Linked DNA regions of Styela clava. The protein of the gene in region 1 purifies or fractionates together with the protein of each later gene. This does not show direct contact. Links are inferred from orthologs where the notes say so. Each region holds a gene or a part of one and is shown in the gene's direction. Other genes may lie near its edges.

What was found.
Region 2: the proteins of mitofusin-2-like (region 1) and E3 ubiquitin-protein ligase parkin-like purify together in Drosophila melanogaster (affinity purification with western blotting; 3 studies listed by BioGRID). This does not show direct contact. The link is inferred for Styela clava from reciprocal best matches to the Drosophila melanogaster genes Marf and park.

The regions. Positions count from the first base shown.
Region 1 is NC_135255.1:2,485,817-2,502,210, reverse strand, and holds mitofusin-2-like, read left to right. Parts: upstream 1-8,032; 5' UTR 8,033-8,204; coding exon 8,205-8,378; intron 8,379-8,605; coding exon 8,606-8,683; intron 8,684-8,906; coding exon 8,907-9,152; intron 9,153-9,253; coding exon 9,254-9,357; intron 9,358-9,599; coding exon 9,600-9,771; intron 9,772-10,757; coding exon 10,758-10,896; intron 10,897-11,194; coding exon 11,195-11,394; intron 11,395-11,725; coding exon 11,726-11,798; intron 11,799-12,247; coding exon 12,248-12,451; intron 12,452-12,951; coding exon 12,952-13,074; intron 13,075-13,258; coding exon 13,259-13,394; intron 13,395-13,877; coding exon 13,878-13,939; intron 13,940-14,180; coding exon 14,181-14,309; intron 14,310-14,563; coding exon 14,564-14,769; intron 14,770-14,994; coding exon 14,995-15,210; 3' UTR 15,211-15,257; downstream 15,258-16,394. UniProt on the Drosophila melanogaster protein: Mitochondrial outer membrane GTPase that mediates mitochondrial clustering and fusion.
Region 2 is NC_135263.1:16,299,194-16,315,787, reverse strand, and holds E3 ubiquitin-protein ligase parkin-like, read left to right. Parts: upstream 1-9,208; 5' UTR 9,209-9,611; coding exon 9,612-10,949; 3' UTR 10,950-11,708; coding exon of another isoform or gene 11,709-11,811; 3' UTR 11,812-11,812; downstream 11,813-16,594. Other genes in the region: uncharacterized protein LOC120341225, read left to right, coding at 1-142; 40-kDa huntingtin-associated protein-like, read right to left, coding at 2,574-2,702, 2,961-3,169, 3,464-3,556, 3,709-3,829, 3,899-3,967, 4,044-4,203, 4,319-4,438, 5,057-5,115; ATP synthase mitochondrial F1 complex assembly factor 2-like, read left to right, coding at 11,709-11,811, 12,226-12,270, 12,339-12,484, 12,826-12,923, 13,004-13,197, 13,268-13,383, 14,611-14,748. UniProt on the Drosophila melanogaster protein: E3 ubiquitin-protein ligase which accepts ubiquitin from E2 ubiquitin-conjugating enzymes in the form of a thioester and then directly transfers the ubiquitin to targeted substrates, such as Paris, Marf, Opa1, Miro, pnut, Septin1, Tom20 and porin.

The DNA.
Region 1 (16,394 bases):
TAATACAAAAAACAATGAAGAAAACGGTTCAATTGAGGAGTAAAAACTTGGATATGTGATGCAAAAGTCTAAAATCAAAAAAAAAAAAAAAAAATGTAGACCAATGGAAAAGTGAGGAGCAGAGAGAAAATAGATGATATAAACCAGGGGTGGCCAACACGTCGATCGCCACCTCTCGAGTAGTCGATAGCGTCTGATGTTGAGTGGATTTAATAACATATCCCAAAAAATTGCCTTAAACCTTGCGTTCCGAATATCGTGTTTAAGCAGAGAAACGATCCTACAATAACTCCCGCCGTATGCGGAAGCTATTGTTCCATTCCTAGAGTAGTGAGATAAAAGTGCATTTGCAACGGTAGCAGTGGCATCAGAATGCCCAATTTTTTTGCTCAATTCCAAGCGATCGAAGAATTGGATTTAGAGGAAATTGTAAATTGGTTACTGAAATTTGAGCAGTCATGTAACGCTTATGGTTTGAGCATATTTATTTTTGCTGTTTAGTTGATATGGATACTTAGCATGGTTTATTGTGAAATTTCCAACTCTTATAACTAAAAATTAAGCAGGCCTTTGATCTAAATTGTATGATTCGAATAAATCTTAAATGAATGATGAAAATTTACTCCGGGTACAATTACATAATCAAGTTAATGAAACATAAAAATTACAAATTTTTGTGGCGATTTCGTTAAAAATGCGCCCTCAGAGCCGAGCCTATTGGCACCGGTGGAATTTTATGTATGTGCGTGTGCAGTTATCTGCATATTCAGCCATCATTTGCTTTTGTGTATATGACCTTATTAACGATCAGTCGTTCGCGATCTATTTTCAAGATTTTAGTCGATCGCGGTTCAAAGCAAGTTGGCCAGCGCTGATATAAGCCATCAGAAGTGACAAACAGAAAAGGAAAAACAACTTGGTGAAAGTAAAGTTTAAATTTGTATACGTTCTCAATGGACAAAGCGGATTCCAAAAGTGCAGGAAAGCCTCCTCTTATACTTAACATATCAAAATTCATTTCAAATGTTTTTCCGTAATCAAACAGTTCTCTTGCTTGTTTAATCGTTTCTTGGTATGAGTTTGCTTCAAGACATTCATTAGCAACATGAAAGCTGAATTAAAGATATCATTCAAAATGTTTATTCTATAACATTATTTTGCATAAGTATTGCAGATTTTTTCATATCCATTGCTAATTTATCATTAAAGGGTCAATCAAAAACCAGAAACCGGATTTCAGGAACCACAAAATATAGGCATATGTAGCATCCTACAAATTATATCGAAATTACTATTGAATTCCTGAGGGCCTATCGACGTATTATCTGTTAATGTTCAAATGCTAGCTATTTTTATATTTCTGCACAATTTTGCATTTACATCAATGTGAATTTAAATCTAAGTATAATTACAGTCTTTGAGCTATACAATGTATTCAACATAAATTTCAACAGTTATTTGTAAAACCAACCTTGAAATGAAACAGCGTACAAACTAGTAGTTAAATATTATTTATTCGGTTTTCAGCTACGCTAATTAAAATATATTTACGCGATTCGTTCTGCCATGATTTTACCTATATGTCCTTTTTCATTCTATCCTGCTGCGTATGTTTTAAATTCTAAATGTTTGATTACGTCGTTACTTGATTGTGATTTTTATGAAAACCTTTATAATAATAATTAAATAATTTCCGTTCAATTAAAATTGTATACAGATTAATACAAAAGCTAAAAATGGGAATCATACTCTGAATCTGGGAAATGTTTCTTGATTTTGTGAAATTCTAGTTCACTGTCGAATTCCAACATTTTTACTCCATTATCTCTTGCATGGATAATATAGGAGACTGGTTTTGACGGAATGGCAAAAATGATGGAATCCGGAGTTGATTCATACCAAATCAATTTCTTCCTTATTAAAAAAAAAATGGAAATAATATAGTTAATACAATCCAGGAAGTCATACTTTCTCTGTTTTCTTATCGTTAGATGGAAAAATGCCATCGCTAATTAGACTTTGCAATCACAAGAATGCAAGTCTCTTATTAAAATTTTTACGGGGCTCGGATTCTGCGTTTCACGTGGTTATACTAACCTATATATATGCACTTGTGCTAACATACGGCTATATAGTTATTATAAACCGAATAAATCTCTTTACACTAGCAGATTTGCCTTAGTGTGTTATGAATATTTTACAGAGCATGTGTAACAATGACCAGCAAGCAGTAAGTCAACATTGGCGTAACAATTGAAATTTGTTCATTCGCTCAGACACTTCTTTTGCTCAGACAGATATTCAAGTACGAGTGTAAAATTGCCTCGTTTTCGCAGTTTTGCGTGTTATTTGTCAGTTTTCAGTTGTTTTTTCAAAAATTGGTTGTAAATTGGATGACTTACTTGGCAGTATGTCTTCAAAAAGCTTTAGTTTAGTCGCAATATTCAAAAATTATTTACGAAGAAGCTGCAGGAGACTAGGCTTAAAAGTATCTATTAGTAGCTGTAAGCGGCACATGGTTAAATATTTTTATAAACAAAATGATTGTTTCGAACATGTGAAACAGTTTGTAAGCGCCAACTCTTTAAACCAGTATCAAAAATGCCGCTATGGACCTTTCCCCGAGCATCGTCTTCCTTGTTTACCTCGTGACATTGGCCAATCAGCAAGATGCAAAAAGTGACGTAACAATGCTCCCTTTTCGCATCCGCTCAGACGCTTTTCTCACTCAGACAGATGGTCAAGCGTGGTCGTAAACAATACCTCGTTTTCGCGTTTTCGAACTCTATTCGTTAGTTTTCTGTTGTGTTTCGGAAACCTAAATATAAATCATGTAATTCAATGATCACTCTGTCTTCCTATGAGTTTTTGGACACGTAGTGGACATAACGATCGTTTCAAAATTTTGTTGTTATTGGACAAATAGTCTAGTGGACATAGCGATCGTTTTAATATTATGTTGTTGTTGTTTTTATTGTTGTTCTTAGAGTCCTTGTTCTTTGACACGCTTTGAAGAAATCGCTTTTCTCTTCGAATACTGGACCAATTGCTTTGAAATTTTTAGTGGTTGAAGATGAAAATTTTCCCCAGAAGGCTATTACTTTTATTCATTTTAAATATTCTTGTAAGCTCTGTGAGATTTGTTTTTGTTTGCTATGACGTCATTAAACGTTCTGTGGACATCGGACGCCATTTTGTGTCCTACTGTACTGCTTCGCTTGGTGTGAATAATTTGTAGACTGTGATCTGACGGTACGGTAAACCGTACTGTACTGCGAACGACGTGTCCGCATATTTGGGCGTAGCTCTCTTGTTATTGTACACGTAGTGGACATAACGATCGTTTCAATATTATGTTGGTCTTGTTGTTGTTGTTGTTCTTTGACACTTTTTGGACATCTAGTGGAAAATCTAAAAAACCGCTTTTCTCTTTCATTACTGGACCTATTGCTTCGAAATTTTTACTGGTTAAAGATGAAATTATTCTCCAGGAGGCTATTACTTTTATTTATTTCAAATATTTCTGTTAGCTCTGTGAGATTTGTTTTTGTTTGCTATGACGTCACCGAACGTTCTGTGGACGCATAGCCGACACTCCTCTTCTTTTTGATCACGTGCCATCGAACGTCGATGGTTCGTAACGAAGTCCTTACGGTACTTTGCTACGATTTTTTCCTTACGCTGTCTTACTACGTTACCAGTACTGTACCGTACAGTATTGCAATAATGTTGGTTTTCTTTTCTGCAGGGACGTTACCGTACCGCCTTAGCGAAAGTTGGAAGTCTTACTGTACTGCTTCGCTTGGTGTGAATATATTTTTAGACTTTATCTGACGGTACGGTAAACCGTACTGTACTGCGAACAGACGTGTTCATATATTTGGGTGTAGTTCTCTTGTTGTTATTATTTTCATTATTTGTCTCCATCATTTTTAAAAAAATCGCTTTTCTCTTCGAATACTGGACCAATGGCTTTGAAATTTGCAGTGGTTGAAGATAAAATTTTTCCCCAGAAGGCTATTACTTTTATTCATTTTAAATACTTCTGTTAGCTCTGTGAGCTTTGTTTTTGTTTGCTATGACGTCATTAAACGTTCTGCAGACATCGGACGCCATTTTGTGTCCTACTGTACTGCTTCGCTTGGTGTGAATATATTTTAGACTGTGATCTGACGGTACGGTAAGCCGTACTGTACTGCGAACAGACGTGTCCATATATTTGGGCGTAGCTCTCTTGTAATTTAATTTCAATAATAAAAAATTTGTGTAAAAATAGCTGTGATAGGCTAGGCTAAAATTCTTTGTAGTGATATTGCATATTTTATGTTGATTTGATTCAGTGCCTGAGTTCATGACCTTTCATGTAGTTTTTTTTTTATCTTTCTTTGGCCTACCCCTAGTGTATACAATGTATTTTGTTTTTTTGGTTCATGAAGGATACGATAGGATTTACATATTTATCCCGGGGGAGAGGAAAGCCGATAAGACGGCTTATCCATATGGCGAACCACGGCCTCTCGTCCGGTTACCATTCCAAGTCGGGTATGGGATTAGTTATAAGTAAACACAGTACTCTGAAATATCGAGTTTATTCTGGATAATATTCTACACTCCGGTATAGAAATCAAGGGTAGAAAAATTATTACATTCTTTACCGGTACTTTTAAAAAACATGTTGTTGTATGCGATGATTCATATTGATGGTTTGAAGCACACACCGGTACTTCATTTTACATGCGCCAACTCGCAAAAGCACTCTTAAAATAGTCCCGAAAATTTTACAATAGTAAAGCAATGACATTAAACAACATGATAGGCAACTCTGACGTCACTCCATAAGACTACAGGCGAAAGATTGTATTTCATGATACGCTCCAATGCACATATTTCTCGTCGACTTTCGCGTCCGTTTTCCGCTCGCTTTTGCTACTCGGCGTCTTTTTTACGTGTAGTACCTGTCTTTTTGCGTCTGTAACGAAACAAAATAATCTCTATATCTAAGAAGTTTTGCTCACTTGGAAAGCTGGAATGGCAGGCAAGCTGTAAAGAGCAATTCTGGACATCATAGACGTTTTTTTTTATCAGAGAAGATTACAAACGCGATAGCGGAAAGATTTGTGTGGAACATTTTGCAGATAATGACACAAAGTTCAAAGTTAGTAATTTTAATGTTTGCGCTTAATCATTGAAGTTTCATTTAAAGAGGGTGTCATACAAAACTGTGCTGTGATACAATTCCATAACACAAAGTTTGCACCTATCGAACTTGCTTTTGTAGGTGAATTTATTAGACATATTACATATTCAGTTAATCGTAGGTAACATTGCTGGTACATAATGCATCGTAGATAGGTTTGTTTAAATTTAGGAATTTAGCTCATAGCCCACTAATTAATATTATTTTCTATGCGGTAGGTTGCAGGGCTGAATTCAACTTGCAGCCTTACCGACCACCTGACGATGCTCATTTAGTTTGGCTCGAGCAAGTCTTCTTGAAATGCTTGTGTGGATGGAAACTACCTATATTATTTGCCTTCCTCCGATTTTAGACAAATTTATTATGAGTGATTTTGCATATAATTCTCATTGATGGTTGGCTGTTTATAATTCCTATTGATTGTGAATTCTGATTATACCAAAGAGTTAAAAATTTTTTTATCTAATTTACTGGTACCTTTTCTTGTCAATACTCCAAGTTGAGGTAATAAACAAGACAATACATTTATGTCATCTGGAAGCAAAATATGCACACTAATTAATAGTTTGGCACATTGAGATAATACATCATGACAGAAAATACAAGTTAAAGATAGGTATGACCATCACATGGTAATTAAAATTAAAAAAAATTAATAGGGGCTGTGGAGTATGAAAAGTTCAAGACAAAGAAAAGAACAAATGTTCATAGCTCATGAACTCTCAATTTTGCCTCCATTGCTTTGTGAAGGCCAATATATTTCGAGTGGCTGAATTGGTTTGCTAGCAACGATTTTGTATTTAATATAGCGAGATGATTTTATAGTACCAACTCTAACTAACGAGGCCACATGATCATGGGTTAATCTGGATCTTTGCGAATGTTTAATTAATTCCAGTAATGCAAAAAAGTTACTTTTATCATTTCATGTATAGATCAGTAAAAAAACAAATGACAGATTTTTTCGACAAGACATTTCGCACCACATTGCGTGGCATAGGATTGCTTGAATTATTATTGATATTGATTTTTAGTAACTAAGTCGTTGTATAAATATATTAATATACAAACACATGGAAATTTTCTGTTCGAAGTTGGTCTTCGAATTTGTCATATTGACTGCTGAGCTTATTGTGTTTTTTCATTTTATTGATGGAAATATGACAAATTAAACAATGTGCTTCAGAATTTTGCGAAAAGCAGAAAAGTTACAACTCCCATTTTCTTCGAAAATGCCACCTTCTTCATGTACTTTGCGTTTAATTTGATCACTCAAGTGTTTATTCAAGTATTCTTTTGCAAGCTTGATGTGTATTCTTAATTGGGTCAAAATGTGGACAAAAAAAAATCATATTCCAAAACTACTTTCAGTAAATTGTTTTCTGTGTGAATAATCAATTTCACTTTAAAAGGTTTGAAAAATCTATTACATTTAGATAAAAAAAAAAATACTATTACAATTATTGTTAAGCGTTCGAGGGCCGCACTCGAAGTTCTCTGGGGCCGCGAGTTTGAGATCTCTGGTCTAGATTGAAGTTGTCCAAAAATATATATGATAGTATTTTATCATGAATGATGATTATACCCCTTCCGGAATTTCTTCTATCGTACTACCAAAAGTTGATGAACCAAATATAACACAGGTGCAGTGAGTTACCCGTAATCCTCATTTTCCAAAGCTGTTTTAAGTGTCTGGCGTGTTTTGTGCCTTTTTACAAATAAGACCGAGTATGTAATTTTACGCTTTGCAATTTTTAGTTATTTTCCTCAAGCCCTGCAGGATGTAGGGGTCATACACAACTTTACCGGAGGGTCAAGTGTCTTTGCATGTCACTGATATGTCGCCAGACTTCTGATATCTCCCCTTCTGCTATAGTTGTCCTGTGAATAAATAATAGGAAATTGTGATTAGACGAATAGTTGAAAGTTTTGCTTTATGTCGGCTTAATTTCTTGATTGATATACTTACTATTTCTGCTATTGCCTCTTGTGCTGCAGGAGTCTCACAATGCTTAGACAGGTTTGTCCACAACTTTCACATCTGAAGAAAGAGAGGAGATTTATTAATTTTCGTTAAGAATAAATAAAGCAGTCTATATGATTTAGAATGGAAAAGCTAATGAATCCAATATCTCATGTTTTATGTAAAAAATATTTTACTGAATTTGGTCAATAAAACAAACTAATAAAAGGGTTTAGTCAGAAAATTACAAGCATTCGTGGCTCCAAATATTTGAGAGATCAGACTATACAATATAGACCGGTATGAGTGAAATGTTAGGTGGACTTGTTAACACTTTGATTCAATACGCAAATAAAAGTGAATGCGCAATAGTATGTTACAATGAGCAGCAATCAACAATGAGTATATATCCTCACTGATTAAAAAAATCAAACTGGAGGTGCATGAACTATTTGAAACCATAAGGGGTAAGTAAATATGTAATTTCGGCAAATGGGCAACCACGTACCGTACTGAATTAATAACTTCGTAGTATTTGACAAAGGCTGACTTTCCCACATGTACTTAACAGTGCGATGCCCGGGTGTGATATACAACAATAGTATTTACCTTACCTTTTTCCGATTTCTTTTTACCTTAACTTTCCAAAATATCATTAAAATCGACAACAACTGTCAAAGCAGGCACGAACACCATTCGTGCTACGCCTTGAAAGCAGCACACATCCGCTCGTTTTCGTCTCGTCAAGTATGTGCATTGGAGCGTGCTATCGAATACGATCTTCGGACAAAAATGCCGGAGTTGCGCATCATGTTGTTTAATGTCATTGAGTAAAGTATAGGAAGATTTTTTCGGGGTCAAAGGTCGGGGAATAGGACTCTTGAAATACTCAGATTAACCAAAACAGCATTAGCATGCTTCAGCTTTCATGGATTTCATAGCCGCTTGTGTTTTGTGACTGTTTTAGCCTATATATCTGTATATAGGCCATTGTTGTAGCATTTAAATTTGAAATCACCAAAATCAGTTGCTTATTGAGGCATTATGTTGAAGTCTGGGTTTGGCGGCGGAGGTGATGCGTCTTCACCATTAAAATTATTCACTAATGCCAAGAAGAAAATAAATGGGATTTATCGAGACATAGGAAATTATGTCAGTGAATTCCATACTTTTGTAGAAGAAATTAAGGATGTTGAAGAGAATGAACTTGTGCATCAGGTAAGTTTTCCAACTGGTTCTTATATTGAGTACATACCGGTACAGACATAGGTTTAGTTAACTCAGTTTACGATCATCTCAGTCCTTTGAAATATCCCCACCAAGAGCATAGAGACGAACACTGAACATGGTTTGAAGTATATTACCCTGACTGCATTCCTAGATGCATCTCATTAGCCCTCTTACAATCTTATTGCTTTTAATTTAGTTTTTGCGATTTTTCACAGGAATTGGTAGATCATATTCAAACATGCGCTCAAAAAGTAAATGGAATAAAAGAGATGTTACTCCGAGATCATATGAAGGTATTTATTCAAGGATAAATTATGTGATTTGTCTAACATTATCTATTCTCATGAAGCTGTGAAATGAAACAACAAGATATTATACATATTCATACTCTTGTATGTCATATCATAACTTCAATTATAAGTCAATTACTGTTCTCATTCCAAGCATGGTTGCTAATTTTTGTGTAAAAGGTAAAAGCCTGACTTTTTTGTATATTTTATTTAAATATAATTATAGGTGGTTTTCTTCGGAAGAACTAGCAATGGAAAAAGCACTGTAATAAATGCTATGCTGTGGGATAAAATATTGCCGAGTGGACTTGGTCATACGACCAATTGCTTCTTATCAATAGAAGGATGTGATGACAAAGATGGACCATATTTACTTTGTGATGGATCAGAGGAGAAGCGTAATGTTAAAAGCGTATCACAATTAGGACATGCACTCAGTCAGGAAAGCATGTCTAATGACAGTTTGATTAAGGTTTGTTTATGATTTATGAAATTAAATATTTCTGTTTTTATCAAACGTCCTTCTAATGTTATACTTCCTACTATATCGCTGTTATTTATTTCATATTCCAGGTATGCTGGCCCAAAAATAAATGTTCGTTATTGAAAAATGAAGTTGTTTTGGTTGACAGTCCTGGTATTGACGTAACTGAAGATATGGATAGTTGGATCGATGCGTAAGCAATTTTTCCATTGTATTGTGTACTAAACATTAATTAATTAAACACAATCTGTAAACTTGTGAATTAGTTATTATCCAAAGACACAGTATCTTTACTCATCTTTTCTATTTTTTTCCTGATGACTCTTCTACAACAAATGCAATGCAATTCATTTTACAGTTGTAAATGTTATGTAGTCAGTGATATTGATACTTTTTTTAATGTCTGAAATGTCCTACTTAACATTTTTCTTATAGTTACTGCCTTGATGCAGATGTTTTCATTCTTGTTGCAAATGCTGAATCAACTTTGATGTTGGCTGAGAAAAAATTCTTTCATAAAGTAAACGAACGTCTATCGAAGCCTAATATATTTATACTCAACAATAGATGGGATGCATCAGCTGCTGAACCTGACCTTATGGAACAGGTAGGACTTGATCGAAGTTATATTAGTTTTCCATCTTGTTTACGGTTCAGGTAACATTTGATATGTTCAAAATTATCTATAATTTGAGCTTCTATTTTGAGCTGAGCAATTCGGAATGTCTGTAAATATGTCAAACACCTAATTCATCAGAGTAAATGTAGTATTCACTATTTCATTCATAACCTCATATTTGTGATCTAGTGATTTGTGTAGTTGCAAAAGGTTAAAAATCTCAGATTCAACCTCCATCACTGATACCTCACCAAGGATTTATTAAATTAGGTAGGCAAGACCAACTGAAAAGATTCTAGCCCCAAAAGTAGTAGCTACTTATTTTTTATCATCTAATTCTTTCTAAAGCCTTTTTTGAGGTGAAGGTGTGAAAACAGCAAAATAGTTAGTAGCCTATATTTGTAAGTGTGTACATAATTATCATGTGTAACAAGCTTTCTGCTCTATGGGTGACAAAATGCTAATTTAACACTTTTTTCCACGGCCATAGGGATTCAAAAACCCAGGAGTGATATGAATTGTTTTGAAAAGCATAGATTTTAAATAAATTCTGTCTATGATTTATTCCATCTTATGAATGCTTGGAAAACTGATTTGAAAAAGATTCTCCACCTTGCCCTACCTGACCAGAAATGATATGTTGAATATTTATTAAAAACATGATGACAACTATTCTGTTTATATAAGTCATATTTTACCTCACTTCTGAACAATTCTCTGTACTAGCAGTCACTTATGCAAAAGTATATTGCTTTTTGAAAGGACAGGGGTCTTTCTTGTTTGTCTTTGCCTACACCCAATTTGAAGCAGTGCATAACCTGTAATGACAATATTGTTTAATCTGATGCTCTAACCATGGGCAATTACACTTCCCTAATATGGACAAAAAATGTCATAGGAATTGATAGGCGTAAAATTTGAAATCAGCAATTTAGAAAGATGTTAATTCTGAAGTTTGTATGCAATTTATATAGGTGAGACAACAACATCTGGAACGTGGAATATCATTTTTGGCAAAAGAACTAGGTGTTGTTACCCCACAGCAAGCTAAAGATAGAGTTTTCTTTATTTCTGCAAAAGAAGCCCTTAATGCTAGATTGCAACGCTTACAAGGTTTTTAATTTTTTCTATGTAATATAGGATGATGTTTAAATGAATCATACATGATATGTCAGAATTGAGCATAATTTCATTTAATAAAGCATAGCTATGTATGTCTGATGATTCTGTTAAAATTTGATGCTGTAATTTTATTAGACCCACTATAATGAGATTTTCATTGCAGGGTCCCATCGAAATCATTAAAATGTTTCAAGTAAATTTGCCAATAAACAATCTGGCAAAATGAAAGGTTCTGGTTAATACAATTAACATGGTGCTCAGAATCGAAAATTTCTTTTAAGAAAGTTAGATGATATTATTTCAGGAATGCCAGAAGCTGGTGGTGCGCTAGCTGAAGGATTTCAAGCAAGATTGATTGAATTCTGCACATTTGAACATAGTTTTGAGGAATGTATATCGAGATCTGCAACAAGAACAAAATTTCACCAACATACTCAATGTGCTCAAGATATAATGAAAAGTCTTCTGACAGAATGTGAGAGTTTACTGGTAAGTTTTGAAATAATATTCTGAATGACTAGCTCAATGCCAAACTGCTTGTTTGCCTCTGCTGTGTGTTTCTGTTGTAAACAATATTAGAATTTGATACAAATGGAATATTCAATAATTTATTCCGTTCTCTCTATAATACTCGATTGGATTGGGGATTTACATATTTATCCTGGGAAAGGGAGGAAAGGCGATAAGGCGGCTTAATTGTATTCTGAACCACGACCTCTCGTCCGGTTGCCAGTCCATGTCGGGTATGGGATTAGTCAGCCAGTTAGTTAATTGTTTTCAGAAGCATGGACTTGATTGTATACTCACATTATATTTTCAGAAAGAATCATCCAGAATGAAACAGGAATGTGATGAATACAATGAACAACTGGAAAACCAAATAACATTTTTAGGTATATGATGAATGTTTATTAATATATTTACTTAACAATTGTAAAATATCACAGACAGTTTTTTGTTTTAGTTGATCTCATTGATAATAACTACCGTACATTGTGAATACAAGCTTATAGGATTCTTCAAGCTGATATAGAAATAATTTATCATTTGCTCATTCACTTGGAATGAGATTCGCCAGACCTGCTGTGATTTAAAGTTTTTAGTTTTGTGGGTTTATTTATGGGTTCCAACCATCATTATTCCAAAAGCTCCCTTTTTCAAATGACAGTTTTGAGCTTTCAGTGAGCAACAGAGGTGTGTTGTTTTGTCTCTGTGAGACTGTGACTCTTTTATTCGAAATGTTCGAGTACATAAAATTGGCCAAGCAAATATGCAGATTTTGTTCAAAAAAATCATGTTAAGCTAACGAAAATCCTTAGATATTTTTCATTACTTTTTTCAGAGAAGCGATTAAAGTTACTCACTGCACAAGCTAAAGAAGCGATTACACGATTGGTCAGCGAAACAGAATTTCAAGTTCGTCAAGCAATGTCTGATGAAATAAGAAGATTGTCATTACTTGTTGATGAGTTTGATCAACCATTCCATCAGAATATGATGGTTCTACAAGTTTATAAAGCGGAATTGTATCGACATGTTGAGGAAGGTAGAAATCTAAAAAGTTTACGTTATACCAGTGGTTCTCAACCTTTTACTGACTGCATACCACTTTGTATTTTTTACCCATGTACTACCAACAAAGCCCCCTTTTGGGGTGGGGAACAATGGCCCAAGGATCCCCCTATTTTATGTATCACTACATCCATTTTTGGCCTTTCAGGCAAAGTTTCAGCGTATCAATTATATGCAGTAACAACGTATTTTGGCGTGCAGAATCGCGAGAGAATTTGCGTCGTCTACCGTCAGAGCTGGAAGGCTTTAATCTTCGCCACCACTGAATTACCTATTCTTTAAATAAATTACACGTACCACAGGTCGTAAAATAACTAAACAGAAACAGAATTTTTATGCACTGTGAAGGAGGAATAAATAGATTCAAAATAGGCAAAGGATGGAGTATTTCGAAAATGATTAAGAACCACTGCCTTTATTATACTATTTGGTAGATTTCCATTTTAGTTTGATTTTTAATTTTTTTTTTTTCAGTTCTTGGAAGAAATCTATCGGCAAGATGTTCATCTTCTTTGCAAAAACAAATAAACAAAAGTAAACAATTGATGTTGGATGAAGCTCAACCATTATTTGAATGCAGTAATAATAGTGAACAAGGTAATTTTTTCAAATCTCATCATAATACAATTCATATTAAAAACTTTCTGAACTATCTCTGTTTCTATTGGCCAAAGCACGCCCATACACAATTGAGTCAAAAGTCTATATAATATAATGTCAAAAATTAATTTGCTTTTGCGATTTATAAACTATGCAACATTATGTCATTCTTATTCTTCAGAACCGGTTTTGGTATCTCAAGCACAGAATTCAGCTTTTGATATGTCATATGATATCAATTGTGCAAGTTTGTGTCAAGATTTTCAGGAAGATATAGAGTTCAAATTTTCTCTTGGTTTCAAATGTCTGATGGGAAGGTAGATTTATTTTTATTCAGCCTTTTGTTGAAATTATTTTCCTATTCATATCCTTAAATATTCTGCATTGTTTCATAAAAACTGCTTTAATGATGGCCACAACTTGATCAGCTTTTCTTTAATAATTGAATACTATTACTTTTCATATTAGTTTTCCTACTAATATTTAGAAAAAAAATTTTTGGATATGTTAAAAAAATTTTATAGTCTATAGCAGTCCGTCGGAACATTTCGTTTCAGTTATTCATTTGTTTGATTTTGCAAATAGCTTTTAGTTAATAGTAATTGATCTTACACTGTCATTTATTCAACACCTGACAATACTCCATACATGGAACTCCGGGTGTTTACTATTGAATGAATATTCAAACAAAGAGGGCTTCTTGCAGGTTGAACTTGTTTCCATTATTATTTTTTGCAATATTTCTCGATACTCATTGTGTTTTCTTATTGTAACCACCATGAATCCCTTTTGTTCAACAGATTTATTGGTTCACGAAAAGCAATAGCTCCTTCAGAAGTTCCAAGACCAATATCTGGAACAGGTAAATTAAATAAAAGTTTATGTTCTTCATGTACAATATGTTTGTTTTAAGCTTCAGGATTTGACTATAGATAAACGGAATACTGCTTTATAATGGGTTCTTATATTTGCCGAATATATTTGCTGTTGTTTCCTATGGCCAAAAGTTCTCTACTTGAACAAATCGGTAGTCAAACACCAATCCGGAACGAATTATGTTCGATCACTGAAGTATCACCGTATTTTAATTAATTTCATTTTAGGAGAGGTCATTGCTCACCAGCGACAACAAGCAGATGATAGTTTATCTTTGCAAGACATTTTGACATCAGTCGCTGCAAGTTATTTGAAGCATAATAATAGTCAATCAGCTGGAATGCTCGTAGGAATCAGTAAGTATCAATAAGTTTTTTTTTTTTAAAAAGAAATATTTCTGTAGCAAATTTGACCTATTACTATTTTCAGCAAAACCTCTTGTTTAAGTTGTGAAGTGAGACTCAAAATATTCATTCCATTATTATCAAGTTTAATGATATTATTCATGTAATCCAAACAATCCCCGATAGGAAAGGATTTTGAAACTCTCGACATCTAGATTGACGTTTATGAATATACTTGAATGTAATTTTTGTATTATTTGTTTCAGTAATGGTTCCCTATGCTTTGTGGAGAACTATTGGATGGAAAGCTATTGTATTTACTGTTGCATCATATGGATCACTGTATTTGTATGAAAGATTAACATGGACTTCCAGGGCACAAGAACATGCGTTAAAACGTCAATTTGTTGAACATGCGACTGAAAAACTCAACTTAATCACAACCTTTACAAGTTCGAATTGTTCACATCAGGTAAGCCTGAGTTTTTACATAGACATGATGGTTTTTAATAATATGATGCAGAAAGGAAGATTTGAACTGAAATCTGTATTGAATCAACCCACTTTTCAGATTCTTAATCTGTAATTTGCCAATTCACACAGGCTCTTAAACTTCATGAGACGCACTTCCCTTTAGCGACCCTACAAGTTTCTCGCAAGTATACAAGAAATATACATATTTGTATATTTGTTTCAGGTGCAACAAGAACTTTCAACCACTTTCGCACAAATCTGCCACAAAGTTGATGAGATTTCCAAAGAATTGAAATCAGATTCCGAGGAAATGCAAGATAAAAGTAGTCGCCTCTCTGAGATTCAATCAAAAATCAAGACCCTTAAAAACAAGGCTAATTTCTTATCTGGAGACATTGACTCATTTGTGAAAAAGTTTTTGCATGATTATGCTGTTTAATTATTCATGTTTAAGAATATAATTTTTAAGGTGTTCGTTATTTATAAGTGCAGTTTTTCTTGATAATTGAGATTCAGAGTCGAGCTGTATAGATGTAGAATGATAGTTCTGAACTCGCCGTATCTTCGGGATCTATCACGATTGAAATCAATATAAGTTGCAAAACTGCTCTTCTATCTTCGTCTTATATGATATGACCTGTGTCTATGTAGTAAAGCTCTGTGTGATGCCGTTTCGAAAAAGGTTATAGCCTACCCCAGATCTGAGCTACCCAGCTGGCGGTCAGAATTCGGACCTTTCCCATATTTAGTTGGGACCAGCATCTGCTGCTTGTGTTTGCGAGCGTCGTTGTAATGAGATGCACATTCTGCTGATCACGAACGAAAAAATTGCATCGAGCATCGACTTGTAAGTTTCATTGGCAGATCAGAAAAATTTCAGCGGCGCTGAGATGCATGTTTCAACTAGACTAGACAGACATTCGGTCATGGTGGTAAACGTTAGCCTGTTTCCGTGGCTTTGCATGCTATATGTCTATTTTTCAATTTAGGCTTAAAATCTACCTAAAATCATCCTATAGTTTAGCACTGAGCAAAATCGGATTTTTCAAATTCTTCACATATTAAGTTACGACTGTTGTCGCGACGAAGCGCACAGAGCAGAAAGATCTGCGTATCCCTGGCCGTTAGCGGTCACATCCGACGCACATCGTAACAGGTAACCGACAAACCCTTGACACCTCGAAGAAGGATTTCCATCACCATATTGGAAATGATTATCGAGGGAGGACATCGTTGACGGATTCCTCTACCAGATGGAGTAGAGGACTTGTCGCCATGGATAGTTCGAATGGTGAACACGTTATCCAAGTAAATGTCAGTAATAGGGATGTAAGTTTCAAAATTTCGAATCAAGGTCAATTCGAAGCAATTTTAGAAAATAAAGCGTGATTCTATTTAAAAAATAGTATAGCATTCGAATGACTCAGAGGCGTTGTTACAACATCGATTAAGTGGTTTTGCTCAATTTTTTTTTACTACCAGAAATTTTCAGATTTTTCAACTAACATGTTGCTATTATATAGCAAATGATATCGATTTATTAACACATTATTGCTTTACTCCTTATCAAACTTGAAATTGCGATGGCTCCTTCAACCTAGGCTTGCACGTAATTTACGGAAT
Region 2 (16,594 bases), on another chromosome or scaffold:
TCATCATCAGCAATTATGTGGAGTGATTCCGATGCCAGTTGCCGTGCCCGTAACACCAACCGATTCAAATTCGGATAACACAGAGAAATTCACTTACGAATCACACGATGAAAAATCAGCATCTGTGTGCACATTGCCTTAATAAAAGTAAAATCAGATAATGTTTGTTTACGCGCTGTTTCACCTTGAAATCGTTCACGGCCTTGTTTGTGGTCGACCGCTCCGGTGCCAGCTTGCCAATGGCCTTTACACATATATATACATTAAATTTGGCTGGTAACCTATATGGTACTGTGCTAGAATTTGAATTTTTCGACTTTCCTGTCATGATCATAAATTAAAATTTCGTGGGTTTAGAACTGGAATAAGGTTCATAATGTTAAGGGTCCAGTTGTTAAAGCACTCATCGAAAACCAAATTGATCTCAAAGTTTATCCAAATGAAGTATGAAATGACATATTCCGAAGATGTTACACAATGTGTTATTGCAACCTATTACAAATTCTTCGCTGATTTGAAAAATATATTTGATTTGTTTATACGAACCATTGTACATAATATTTTGTTTTCGTTTAAGCCCTTTTCACAAATTACACTGTCGATTAAGGTAAAAACTTCAAGGGAACTTGATGCAGTTTTTCTCGAGACAACTCTAGTTAGCATAGCTTCTAATCAATTATTATCAGACAATAGCAACTTTATGAAACTGCTGTTAATGGACCAAACGTGATAAATTGTAATTTGTCCCCAATCCGTATAATTTTATTCAATGTCTGTTTGTTATGAAGTGTATTTTATATTCATTTAAAACTAACGTAAATAAAAATTTTAATAAATGACGGTTGCTTAGAATTTGTCTCCAATCAGCGGAGTTTTGACCAGGGCACTCAGTGACACCAAACTCAGTGTGGTTTCTGAAATATAGAAACCTAGACACCAAACAGATTTTACTTGTTGAACTGGATAGCCAGTGATCAGACATACTTATAGCTATTAGACTTCCGCGATTTACACCTGGGGCGCACAGCGATTGGATCAAAATCGACGGCCTATGGACCTTTCCCCGAGCATCGACTTTCTTGTTTACTTCGTGACATTGGCCAATCAGCAAGATGCAAAAAGTGACGTAACAATGCTACCTTTTTTTCATCCGCTCAGACACTTTTCTCACTCAAGCGTGGTCGTAAACATTACCTTGTTTTCACGTTTTTGAACTCTATTGTCTATCCGTTAGTTTTCAGTTGTACTTTGGAAACTTAAATATAAAATCAGATAATTCAATGATTACTCTGTCTTCCTAGGAGTTTTAATTTATTTGGCGCGGCGGTGTGGCTCAACGGGCTAAGCGTTAGGAATACGCTCGCCACCGCACTAGTAATTACTCTGCGTGGGTTCGCAGGTTCGAATCCACCACCAAGTCCATGCTTCCGAAAACAAACAATATAACTAATCCCATACCCGAATTGGAATGGTAACCGGACGAGAGGCCGTGGTTCGCCATATGGATAAGCCGTCTTATCGGCTTTCCTCTCCCCCGGGATAAATATGTAAATCCTATCCTATCTGCAAAAATAAAAAATTAGTGTAGAAATGGCTGTGATAGACTAGGCTAAAATTCTTTACCGGTACTTTTAAAAAAGAGATTGTTGTATGCGATTAATCGTAATGATGTTTTGAATCACATACCCCATTTTACAGGCGCCAACTCGAAAAAACACTCTTAAAATAGCCCCGAAAATTTTGCAATGGTAAAGCATAGAAAGAAATTTTCCGGGACAAAGGTCGGGGAAAGGTTCATAATGTAACAAAACACATCACCCAAATTTGCTTTTTTTCTATTTTATTGAACAAGACATATTGCACGATTAAATCCAGTTGCCTTAAAGTTAACCGACATCGACATGATGGTAACGGTAAGTGTTGGTGGTGCTTGTTGAGGGTCGGAAAGCCAAGAAGATTACGGTATGAGAGAGAAGATCCCTGGACTCCTCCCCCACCCAATCCACTGTATTATCCACTTTATAGTAGGGAAGGAAACTTGAAAACAAATCCCAAACTTTTTATTGGATCACTTTGATGAACATCGCTTCCAAGGTTCATACCAGAGAGGCACTATTTTTGTTGATGTCGGAAATTTGAAATTTCATAACAATGGACAAATTTTATAAAAATATTCAATTTCGAATTTCCACCTAGTATATCATTATACAGCGTCTAATTACCGGTATGCATTTATCTGACTATTTACATTTACAGGTTTGTTAAATAAAATAGATCAGATATTTGAAACTTATATATCATTGCACATTGGAATGCTTCATGCCAAACCTGGTTTAAAAACATTTTATTATTATTTTACCTCTTTTAATTTGCCACATACTAAGTGTTCGGACCACATAAATATTGCAGCAAGAGACAGAATGTCGAGTTTTGCCCTTTTTCCCAATAGCGAATCAATATTGAAGGTTCACAATTCATTCTTATACTTTTAACTGGGAAAGTTATTGAGCTTTAAAGATTGTGGACTGTTCTGCTCAAGAGCACCCATTTGAACAATGATGAAAAATATAACTTCAATACTTTGGGTGACAATATTCATCAACAATCCTTTGCAATAGGACATTCTGTTCAACAGATATATAATCTTTTACACCATCTTGAACAGTTTTTATTGCATCAATATCTCCACCTGAACACGCCATCTGCAAATGAAATAAATGACTAAGGATTACTTTACTGAAAAGTAATATACAATTTTATACATAGCTAAAAAAATCACCTTTTATGTAAAAGTTTGGAAATCAAAAAGAAAATTTTCGCCATCTTGTTTATGAATTGCCAGGAGTCGGAATAAGAGTCTATTGAATCTATCTGGATTTGTTACTACAAACTATCAGGCAGTTTTGAAGATGATAATAGAGAAAAAAACAAAATAATAAATGAATCTGAATCGCACTCACCACAACTGACCGAAGAAAAATAAATAAATCTTCTCCAAGCAATGTGTCTAAAATATGTGATCCAGATGCCATGCTTTCCTCATCAGGCCATGTATACTGTTGGAATACTTCTGCATAATCTTTATTAATTGCTAGAGGGCGAGGTTGAAGTAACAATAGAAGTAAAAGTCTAGTTACTTCACATTTTTTATAGTAGTCATTGTAACATCCTGAAATGAGAGACAGAAATTTATATGAGAATATATACTAGAAAAATTTGAACTTACTTACTTGAATATAACATAGGCTTTTGCTGATAGAATTTATGGTAGCCCATTTACTCCTGTATATGATTTATAGGGTAAGTAAATAAAGGGGTTCTTCTCCCACTTGCCCCAAAAGTCCCTAAACCAAAATGGAGTAAGTCATCAAATAGGGTGTGGTCAGTGGTCACACAATTATGGTGACACAGTATGTTGTGATTAATGATTTCAATAAAATGAAACATCATTGAAACAGCATACCAAGAGGAGTAACTCGATCTAGATGATAGGCACCTTCTTTTTTGATTAATTTCATCATATCCATTGATGAATTCAAGGCAGAACGAAAATCACCTAAAAATGAATCAATGTTGCCTTTAGTCGACATTCTGAAATATGATATGTGCCCTCAAGAAACATGTTCCTGGAACTCTCCTTTTGTATTTTTTCATTCAGTTTCCTTTATGTGTTCCATTTATCTATCTTATAAAAATATAGTATCTTACGTATTAGTGTTTGACAAAACATAACTTTATCCATCGTGGATATAGCTTGAGATGGCAAACCAGAGAAGTACTCAACAGCTCTTTGATAATGCTGAATAGCTTGATCATATCTGTGAGTTTGCTGAAACGAAAAATAAAATTAGTAGGCTATGAAACATTCCAAAGAAAGCAAAATGTACGCTAAACTTACTTTGTAAAATTCAGCTTGTTCAAGGCATACACTCCCAGCCGCGACTGACATACCGTTTTCTTCATAAATCTAGTATGATAAAAAAAAATGACCAGTCATACAAATAATGAAGTATTAAAAGTGCAATATTACCAATATAACTTACTTTAATAGCCATATTGAAACAACCCATAGAGCATTCCAAATGTTCGTGAAAGTTTGGACAATTCATTTCATCTATTTCCTTGTCTGCTTTTAGAAAAAATCTAGCAGCTTCAATAAGTGAATCTACTTCACCAGATTGGTTGAGCAATCCTTGCTCACATCTGAAAGGTTTAGAAGTTAATGTCAACTATTGGATCTCAATAGAAAAACACAAATAGAGTCTAAAACTGAAAAGATCGCTAAAAATGATCATAGGTTGAAAACGGTTCACATTACTTGGCCCTAGCAATTGCTGTGAACCCAGCATAAGGAAAGCACTCGATCCTCGACAAATGATTTTTCAGCTGTTCAAATTCACTACTTGCTTCTGCAACATTCGGTTTTTTCAAGAATCTCCTATAACAAAACAAAAAAATACAATTAATGTTTGTCTATCCGATGCAACACAGAACCACTTGAAAGTAACTGATGCGACTATCAAAATATCCAAGATATGTCAAGAATTCAAGAATAAAAATTCATTGAGAAGCTCAAATATCACAAATTTTACAAATGTTCACACAAATGTTTTGTCTGCCAAAGTCAGAATTTCTCGGACAAGCATTTTATAATGAAAAAGTAATTGATAGCTGATTTTGCCAGTTAATATAATATTTATTATATTAGTATAAAAATGCATATCATCAAATGACTTAGTAATATTAGTACAATATGCTGTTATAATTTAGAAATAAAAGTAGATTGACAAATGACAACCAATATTTTGCCAGTTAATATAATATTTATTATATCAGTAGGCCTATAAAAAATGCATATCATCAAATGACTTAGTAATATTAGTACAATATGCTGTTATAATTTAGAAATAAAAGTAGATTGACAAATGACAACCAATATCTGAATATGGTATTGTTATTTTGTTTACATTTCAGTCATACCTGCTGGCAAAAGTACGGTAATACCATATTGGGGCCTACTTTTATATCTAAATTATAAAGTGGGTGAAAATCCTACTTCTTTAATTTGCTTGCTGCGGCTCTGTGAAAATTGAAAAAATCCACCTCCTCTCCCATTTTTCACACTTCAATGCAATGACTTATTACGATACGGTATCCTTGCACAATGTAAGCTTTGAAATTACGGTATATAATATACAGATAGTCTATATATGTTAAGATACAAAAGGATAGGATAGTATTTACATATTTATCCCGGGGGAGAGGAAAGCCGATAAGACGGCTTATCCATATGGCGAACCACGGCCTCTCGTCCGGTTATCATTCCAAGTCGGGTATGGGATTAGATTTACTGTATTGTTTGTTTTCGGAAGCATGGACTTGGTGGTGGAGGAAGCCGAGCTGAGTAATATAGGCCTAGTAATTCTAAACTGTCACAAAACAGCATTACTGAAATGGTGTGATACCGGTATGGTACAAATAAAAATATTCTTTTTCACTTGTGATGTATCTATTCTGATTTCTGCATAAACATCGAAGTTGAGAGAAAAGTTGTTTCCCTGACCCTTGACCCCAAAAAAATTCTCCCAGATTTTGCTATTGCAAAATTTTGGATGCCTATTTCGCGAGTGTTTTGGAAAAGCAGGCAAAGGAATGTTGATATCGCCGTGTTAAACAATAGCAAGACACTGCATCTCACCAATTCAGGTATAAGTACAAGAATTCCTGGGTCAATCCATAACAACAGAAATCGTTTTCTTGGCACTGTTTTTCTAAAACGTTTCAACGTCAAATCTGATTAGGGTTGGTGCACCATGATATTTCATTCACATACACCCGCCCTGCGCTCGAGTTGTTGATAAATCCTTGAGTGGACTCTCATTTTTACGGGTTAGTGCAACATCAAATTGATGTTTACAACTGACAATGTATTACAATTGCGTCGCTCGATCATGTTTGGTCAACTGATTGAACAATGTCAGAAAATACGATACTGCCCTGGTGGGCAGGCACTTGAGATACTTCTCATGTTTTAAACTTTTTTATGGGTTTTGCTTGCCCTCCAGAATTCTCCATTTTCAATTTATGTTTGTTATGGAGTTTCCGAAATAAACTATCTATCTATAATGCGAAAGGCTTGTTGTCACAGTCACGACGATCATGAGAATGAGAAATGAGAATATTCTTGTCTGATAGCTGTGCCTATCCAATTTCAAGTTTTCCACGTCCTAAGATACCTCCACAAAAGGCATAATAGTTGTCTACATACCAGCTGCTGCTTGTTTAGAGCCTTGTTCAGATTTCTCAGAAAAAAAAAGGCGAGACATATAGAACGAAAATGGTTTATAAAAATGGATGGAGGAGTCGTTAATATTGTACCATCCAATGCGCCATTCCTAATGCGACGTTGCATTGTACCCATTGCGCTTTCATTGTTAATAATACACCATTCCTAATGCAATAACGCGTTCTTCTCAATGCGCTTTTCCTAATAGCAGAAAAGTACTTCAATATTCTATGAAACGTGAATTGATTTTATTACCAAATATATCAGCAATGAAATTATACGTTCCATTCTTAAAGTTTGCATGATGTCACAGCACAACCAAGTGACAAAAACTTTTTTGCTGCTTTGCTGCGGGGAAGTTGTGAAGCTCTTTATCAGAAGATGGAACCGTTCTTATACAATAGCTGTATTCAATCCAGTCTTTTCAAATTACATAGTGGATATGGGTACCTGCTTGTTCAGAGTCTTATTCAAAGGGAATGTGTGAAATACCCCATTAAAAAAGTGGTGCTCCATATATATATATATATGGTGATTTAAATAACCAAACATTTATTGAAGTTTCACAAGAAAAAAAAAATCAAAGCACAGATGCACACCATTAGTTTCACCAGAACCATTTGGTTTTACTCCAAGCCTATTCGGGACCTAGGTGAAGTCGAATCACTGACTGCTTCATTCCCATATCGATAGTGTGGTACTGAGGTAGATATCAAAATATATTAGTCATCAAGGGTGTGATAATGGATTTTTTTTCATTCATAAACATTAGGTTCAGACAAGGATACGGTAATTTGAGTTGTTGGACACGTAGTGGACATAACGATCGTTTCAATATTATGTTGGTCTTGTTGTTGTTGTTGTTCTTTGACACTTTTTGGACATCTAGTGGAAAATCTAAAAAACCGCTTTTCTCTTCCATTACTGGACCGATTGCTTCGAATTTTTTACTGGTTAAAGATGAAATTTTTCTCCAGAAGGCTATTACTTTTAGTTATTTCAAATATTTCTTTTAGCTCTGTGAGATTTGTTTTTGTTTGCTATGACGTCACCGAACGTTCTGCGGACGGTACTGTACCGTACAGTATTGCAATAATGTTGGTTTTCTTTTCTGCGGGGACGTTACCGTACCGCCTTAGCGAAAGTTGGAAGTCCTACTGTACTGCTTCGCTTGGTGTGAATATATTTGCAGACTGTGATCTGACGGTACGGTAAACCGTACTGTACTGCGAACAGACGTGTCCATATATTTGGGCGTAGCTCTCTTGTTTTTTCATAGGATCACTTCGAATTTAACATGGAAGATTTGTCAGAATATTTGTGATTTTTTTTCATATTGATTTCATTTGATCATTGTTAAGCAGCCTGAAACACAACAACAATCTACGAGCAGATGTTTCAAAGATTGCTTATAAGGGAACATGGTGAACTATTGTTCACTTTAGAGACTAATGGATTTTTTCAAATTAATTTTAGAAGGTACTGGTTTTTTGATACTTTTTATTTTAGGTGGTGCGAACATGTTGGGAGCTGACTCTGATGACCGTATGGTCGTATCGCTCCCTCCAGCCCATACCGAAGAAACGTTATTCGTAGTGCTTTATATTTATTATTATTATCAATGTATTTATGTTTTTTCTGGTTGACAAATAATGGAGCTCTCTCCCTCTATTCGAAGAAAAAAGCGAATATATAATAGTGATAATGACGAAAAACGAGAACAACAATATAATATTCAAACGATCGTTATGTCCACTAACGTGTCCAACAAGAACAACAACATAATATTGAAACGATCGTTACGTCCACTAACGTGTCCAATTACCAAAAATATGAGAACGATCCAAAGGTCCACTCAAAGTGACTATAAACGGCTGGGGGATTCCCCACGTCAACTGAAAGTAGTTTGGGGGATTTTAAAAGTGACCTAGCCACCCACGCGGTATAAGAAGTGCTGCATGGTGCGCAAAGATAAAGAAAGCCAGGTACAGTACACCAAGTAAAGTTAAGTTGACACTGTACATTTATATAATAAAGATATTTGGCTATACCGGTAGGCGGTAACGTACCGTACCGGTACCAAAGCTCACAGGGTCTCGTGTAGTTTCGTACCTAATGTACGGTACGGTACTTCTAGTAGGCGTAGCATAACAATTTTTCGACATGCCAATCCTAACCTTCACCTGACTACGCCATTCAAAAATTGCGTCACAACACGTCATATCATAGCTTGCCAAATTCTCGTACGATCGCCCGAAATGGCATCGGCGCCGACGATAAAGAACTGACTAACGTCAGCGATCTCTCTCCTATCGGGATCGTTGCGACGAGAAAACGAGAGAAATGGCTTTTCGATTTCGGGTTCTCGTCTGCGCGTCTTGGATGACAGTTTGCATAGTTTGAAGGGCTCTATTACGTCACTGCAGCACTGTGGCGCCGTAGTGATGTAATTTTTGGATGGTGTGGTCAGGTGGGGGTTAGGATTGAGCTTGCCAAATATACGTACGATCACCCGAAATGGCATTGGCGCCGACGATAAAGAACTGACTGACAGTATCGATCTCTCTCCTATTGGAATCGTTGCGACGGGAAAACGAGAGAAATAACTGTTTGATTTCGGGTGCTCGTTTGCACGTCTTGGATGCCGGATGGCAGTTCGTATAGTTTGAAGGGCTCTATTACGTCACTGTGACTTCGTGTTGATGTAATTTTTGGATGGTGTAGTCAGGTGGGGGTTAGGATTGATACATGAAAAAATTGTCATGCTACGCCCACTAGAAGTATATTAGGTACGAAACTACATGAGACCCAACCATTGGATTGGAATTTTAACGAAAATAAAGAAGGAAATCAATGCTCGGGAAATAATTTATTTTGTAAAGTTTACCAAATTATACCATACAGCCATATTAATACAGTAATAAATGGGACTGAACCTGAACAGTGAAGAATAGTCTAGATTAATATTAATTAAAATATGATTTATTGTTGGAATTTGGTTGGAGTGAAATGCAAACACCTCAACCAAATAAGAAAGAGAGGGGTTGGTTAGGTGGATATTCTACCCTGTTTCGTTAATTTAGGGTCGGTTTCGATAATTAGGAACCATATATCAGTACGGTACCGATCTTAGCTATGAAATTTTAAATGTGATCACATGACCAATTTTTACAGTGTTTTATCCTTCATTGATATTTTAATTATGTCATTTATTGTTTCTGTATCTTACAAATATGAAATATCTAGTTACCTAATAACTGCAGAACTGTATTATTAGGCTTAAGATTTATCCGAAATTTCGAGACTACCTTACCGAAACAGTGCAATGTGCACTACCAATGCATTGGATATTAGGTTCATGTTGCACAAAGACAAGACTTCTAGACTAATGAAATTGCCTTTGAATATAAAAGTGTGTGATGTCAAATCTATGCTTTGTAAAGACTCTAATATCCCTTTCGAAGAGTGTGAAATTATTTTCTGTGGAAAGGCAATGCAAAATGATAAAACACTGAATGAATATACCCTTAGTTCTCAGACGACTCTGCATGTTGTCTCTTACCCTCGTATAAAAGATGAAGAATTGATATCAAGACAACAATATTATGTGGGTCGAAATTCATATTTGACAGGAATATGGCCACATCGTCAACATACTCATTTTCCTTTCATCAAGTTACAGAATTACCTGAATGAAGAAAAATTATGTTCAAAACATCCTCAATTTTATGTTTATTGCAAGCATACTTGCTTTAAAGTTACACCTGGGAAGCTGCGTGTTCAGTGTGCCAATTGTAAAGAGGACAGTATTATTCTACAATGTGAGCCTGAGCAATGGAGTGATGTCCTTCAGGCGGGAAAAATATTTGGCCAATGCTATTCTGAGGAATGTGGAGGTGATGTTTGTGATGCAGAATTCTACTTCAAATGCTCGGTTTGTCGGAGTCCGGCACCTTCTGAAACTGCTGTATCCTTACCAAATGTTATCAGCAACATTCAAGATGTTCTCTGTCTTACCTGCCTTGATTCATGTAATCCGGTCGTGACGTTTCCTTGTAGCCCTGAACATGTTATGTGTTTGCCATGTTTTGAAGAATATTCTCGAACAAAACTTCGTGATAGACAAATGATAGTTTGTGAAAATATAGGGTATTCTGTTACCTGCCCGATGGGGTGTGAAGGTTCATTTATGTGTGATACACACCTTTTTCACATACTTGGGGCTGATGAATACCAAATGTATCAAGCTTTTTCTGCGGAAGAATGCTTAATTCGTAAAATGAAGGGAATGATTTGCCCCAATCCTAAATGTGGAACTGGCTTGTTTCCAGATATACCTGCCATCTTTGAGAACAACACAAAAATTACCTGCTCAAATTGTGGGCATATGTTTTGTTCAAATTGTCGTGAATCATATCATGGAACCTCAGACTGTGAATCCCAGTTTCCTCTGTTGGCTGGAAGTAGTGTTATGGTAAGAGACTATTTCGAAAGCATAAAAACCATCAGGGAAATTTCGAAAAACTGTCCTAATTGCAAAGTTCCAACAGAAAGAAGTGGTGGTTGTATGCATATGACTTGTAAAATGTGTTTGTATGAATGGTGTTGGAATTGCCTTACACGATGGAATTATAATTGCCAAGCAGATCACTGGTTTAACTGATTTTCTATAAGTTGAGAATATATTGTCTTACTATGCTGGGCATTAGAAACAGTTTTGCTATCGCACTGTTGGATATTATTAAAAAGAAAAACATTTGTCATAGCTTTTCTGTTCTGTATTCATGAATTGAGTTCTGTAAAAGCTTCATAGCTTTTCTGTTCTGTATTCATGAATTGAAAAATCCGATATTGTGAAGAGAAGGACAGAGATACAAAATCAACTTAGCTACTGCTCTAATTGCAGTCTAAAATCATAATCTCATTAATAGAAAATGTTACAAATAGGGTCATTTTTAAGAAAGAACACATACAAGGCAATGTCCTTTCAATGAGTTTGAATTCAGAAATAAAGATATAGCATATGATTTGATGACTTAATTTAAAACAGTTTGCAAAAAATTCAGACCGTTTTGGTAATAATGTGATTTAAGAATTGGGAATCTATTTTTTATTCCAAGCTCGTCATCCCCCCTGCCAAGATATAGAATCCTATTTTATTCCAATATTTTCATATTCATCTCATCACTGTGAAATGGCCAAGCGTTTGGTATTTGTTTAATAATAAGTTTCACTACTGCCTGTGGCATTTGTATTATATAAACTAATTTCTGGTTTTAACTAGAAATTTAAATGTGCCTTTGCTATCCTATTAATGAATATATATGAATGTTGCTAATTTAGTGATTTGAATTGTGTTCTTTCTTTGTTCGTAATATATTGCTATTTTGTCAAATCATGCAAATACTTCAATAGTCAGGTAATGGCTGCGTTGTTCCGGAATTTGTTAACCGCGCCATTTACGTGTTCTACGACAGTCCACTGTAATGTTTTAAGCATTCTGCGGCGACACACTAGTGTTTCTGGTGAGTTAAGGTTTTTTTGTTTGCAGCAATACAGTCACATAAAAGCAGCTTGGTGTATGTAGTAGTTCTTGATGCTCTGTAATGGAGGATACTTCACTTCACATGTTGAAATTTATCTCAGACTTTATTTTATGTGGTAATTATTTTATTTCACATATACAAAGCAAGTGCATAATGAATAAACTTAAAATAAATCTCATCATAACACTGTTGAACAATGAAAACTGAGCAAATCCAAGTTCTGAACTTGGCTCGAGTTACAAAATTAGTTCATTGCTCTCACCAGCACCAACCATAAAAAGTTTATCCTGTTAATAAAGACAGCTCACCTAGTTCTCTATATATCAATGGGGAATCTATTCAAATTCATGAATGTGATTTCTCTGACTCATTTTGATCTATATATTTTTATAGGAAGAAAGAAATTTTTCAAAGAGGTAACAATATCATGTGATTCAGGTAAGATGAATTAAAAATAAAATTATAAGTCATGTTCATATATCTAATATCATTGTTAATTTTTGAAGATGGATATGATGTGAGCCTCGATAAAAGAAAACTGAAGTGTCCTTCAGGCATTGTACTGCGACTACCATGTGAACAACTGGCTCAAGCTGTTGCATTAGAATGGGATTCCCAGGGAGACGCACTGAAATACCACACGATGCCAATAGTTAGTAAATTAGTTCATATTGTGCTCGATGTCTATTTTTAATGTACATTTGGGTTTTGTAAAATGTATGTAAAAGTTTTAAACTACAAATAACATCAATTATGATATGAGTGAAGAAATTTTTCTAGTTGTTTCACTTCCAGATCAAAATAGTATGCTGGTTTGTGATGGTAGTCCATGGTAAAGCTAGTACCCGTATGATAGGTCTCTTATGTAAACCCTAATGTTCTTACATATTGCTATGATGTATTATTCGTCTTTGGATCTCTATAAAGTATCACGGTAGGTCTGTAGTTAACAGCACACAAGAAGAGTTTTCAGTTTTAACTTCTTTTCAACAGACCAATTTATGTTTTTATGCGATGGATAAGCCAAATGGTGAAGATAAAGCAACTTTGGTTGACATTTGTCTAAATTTCTTGCGAACTGATACAGTATTGTGAGTGATAATTTCATTTTTGAATTTAGTATTGGTTTGGGTCATAAATTTGATTTCTGAATAAACATATATTTTTCAAGATTTCATTCTGACGAGCCTCCTGGTTTAGGAGATCATCAAGTTAAAGAGTGGGGTAAAATTATTGACTGGGCACGACAGAAATACAATGTTGAACTCAACTACACATCAGGGTTTACTTCCCCACATTTGCCTGAAGAAACAATAAATACGTTTGCAAAATACCTCTCATCTTATAATTTTTGGGCTGTAACAGGTGAGTTTGTTTGCATTATTTTTTGGCATTGTAAATTATGTTTTTAATAATGCAGGTGTATGTTCTACAGGATTTGAAAGGCTCATCAGCACACTGAAATCCCTTTTGCTATCTATTGCATTGGTTGAACGCAGTATAACAGTTGAAGAAGCCGTGAGTTTATCTCGATTGGAACAGGAATATCAGGTGGACTATTTATATCAGTTTTCCTCTCATGTGAACAGTTAAACTTCGCAATTTAAGAACAAGAAAATATTTATAAATTTTTAACGTTGTATAATGTAGGTGGTAGGGTGGTTCACATACCGGTAACCTCTGGACGGTTACGGCTTCCTCTGCCATCAAGTCCATGCTTCCGAAAACAAATAACTGACTAATCCCATACCCGACATGGAATGGTAAATGGACGAGAGGCCGTGGTTCACCATACGGTTAAGCCGTGTTATCGGTTTTCCTCTCCCCGGGGAATAAATATGTAAATCCTATCCTATGTATCTGCATATTCGATCATGATGCTCGTATTGGATTGGTTGAAGAAATAAATGAATAGAGTGATGATATGTTCAAGCCAGCATGTTTACTATTTAAGACTATTATTAACACTATACCTGCAGGAATTGTTCTTAAGATCTGCCATCTGTAGATACATTTGGCAGAAATCTTGTAGGGCAGCGGTTACCAAACCTTTTGTTCGTGCGGCGCCAAATTATCAGGGAAACTCCTGCGTACTTGCACGGAAACAAGAAAATAAAACTCAATTTTGTGATCGATAATGTGTACTTTATGCCTTTTAAAGTTTGTAAACATGTATTACTTAGGAATAAGGGCAAATGTTCGCCAAAATCGGTTCAGCAGATACACAAACTGCAGCTCGCAAAATTGCAGCAAGTACGGTAGTAACTTTCTCTATTGTTACGTAAGAATATAGGCAGAAACTATAACAGGAGATAAACGTCATAGAACGGTAAAAGTAATTTATTGATTCATATACACAGCGTTTAAAATAAGAAACGATAAAATGTAGGGGAAATTAAGTTTCATGAATAAACTTTCTTTATTAAGTTGGTTGAACTTAGGAACCATTGAAAAATCGAATTTTCAGACGGACCACGTCTCATGTAACTACTATGCACTAGCATCTACACCTTTTTATGAGAGGTTTAACCGATCTGAAAAAAGCTTAGTGCAACTGTAATTTCTGTAAAGTCCAAATTCGTGTACTATTGTATACGGGATATTTATGTGCAAGGATTGCTAGATTCATCGCCGTCATAATGTGATTCACGTAATCACTGGTCGATCTTGGGATGGCTTTCCCCAACTAATATGGACTGGTAAGTGGTAACCGGATCGGCTGTCGTCTTTTCTCGCCACCAGGATAAATATATAAATCTTGTCCCATATATATTTCAGATTTCACAATGGGGAAATGTAGAATGGCATCACGATATTGATCTTCTTGAGAGTAGAAAGTCTGCTGCCGCCTGTGCGATTTTCATACACGCCTGTTCAGAGGACAGCAGATATATAAATCTGCAAAACCTTGCCTAATAGAATGAAAAGAACAACATCGATAAGTGTTTGTCATGTCGAAAATAGAGAGCAGTGCAAATTTTGAGTGGAATTGCATGGTTTTGTGTGGAATTGTTATCTCTTAAGTGGGAACAGGTCTTTTGTGACAGATTTGGTGAGCAGATATCGAGAACGACCTCCTTATGGCGGAGTCCAATTGTGCAAATGATTGTGACTTAATCTGTTCATGGTCAGATTTGCAAAGATTAAATAAATGAAACAAATTTCGAACAGTTCATAACATAATTTCTAACGAATAAATAGTTTGATAATTTTATGGTTCAGTGTAAATCACGAGGAGTATATGTTAACCTCGCGGGGGCCATGGTGGGGTGGGTGTCGATTATGATTGTGAAATACAAACCATTTTGGAACACTGGAATACTTTTCCCTGTGCTTATTTTACAGATAATATAATGAACTGTATTCATCTGAGCTTTTAGGAACTTGGGAATCAAAAATGAAAAACTCAGTTGGCTGTGAGTCTCTCACTCGTTTACTTTTAGTGCACCTGCCACACACAAACAAGTTTTTATTTTCAAAGTTTTTTTTTCAAGAATATCGGTAGTTTTTAATTCTTCGAGTGTCAGCAGCTCTTGGCGCGTTAGTAGTCGCCAGTGACTTTGCTCAGAGACCAAAATCCTTTATTTCCGAGTGAGTGCGTGTGGTATTGCTTTGAGCAAATACCTTCCATAAAAGAATATAAATTATTTAAAAAAAATAAAAGTCCGTATGAACACAATACCCAAAACGGCGCTTGACATGCCTGCTTAGTTGAAAATTGAGGTTTGATTTGAACTCAACGCGTGTTTCAAGAATTTTTTTTGCGTCATACAAACTTTTTTTTTAACTACGTCAAAATTTCACATCACATTTTTGTTTGGCGTTATTTGAACAATTACGGCGTTCATTTCACATTTTTGTTAGGCATTATCCAAGCAGTCGCGGCGCTTTTTCTACAAGACCCAAGCATTTTATTGCCGCTACGGTACTTTTTAATAAATAGTACGGTGCTTTCAAAAATCAGATTGTTTGTTGAATGCTATGAATCAGAATGATTCTTTGAAACAAATAGCCCATTTTACAGTCGCCAACTCGCGAAACAATTCTTGAAACAGGAGAGCTAGGCTCAAATATATGGACACGTAACAAGGTGACATAAAAAACGAAGCTTTTGAAGTCCCCAGAAATTTTTAAAATAAATAAAAGTAATACTGTAGTCTTCTGGCGAAAAAAATCGATCCGCTATTTTTATTCTGACACATGAAAATCGATCCGCTATTTTTGTTCTGACACATGAAAAACGAAGCTCTTGAAGTCCACAGAAATTTTTGAGATAAGTAAAGTAGTCTTCTTGCGAAAAAATCAATCTCAACCACTGAAAACTTCAAAGCAATTGGTCCAGTATTAGTCCAGAGTAAGGCGATTTTTTAATGATAATAACTACCGGTACCCTTAAAAAAGTTCCGAATTTCCAGTAGCAAGAATTTTGCAGAATCAAAACGTACAGCCAGTTATCACGCGGACAAATTTCATAGAATTCATACAAAATTTAGAACTGAAAAAAAGTAATAGCCCTCTGGAGAATAATTCCATCTTCAACCACTAAAAAGTTCAAAGCAATTGGTCCAGTAATCGAAGAGAAGTTGTTTCAACCAAATCCTAACAGTTACTTACTTTTTTCGTTTTTTCTGTATTTGTATTGAGGTGGTGCTCCATAGTAATTGTTATTGATGGGAAAGGCTAACTGATCTTGGATAGTTAACTCTACGATTCGTTTTACCCGTCAACTGACATCTCGCCAACAAATAATCTTTATAAAGTA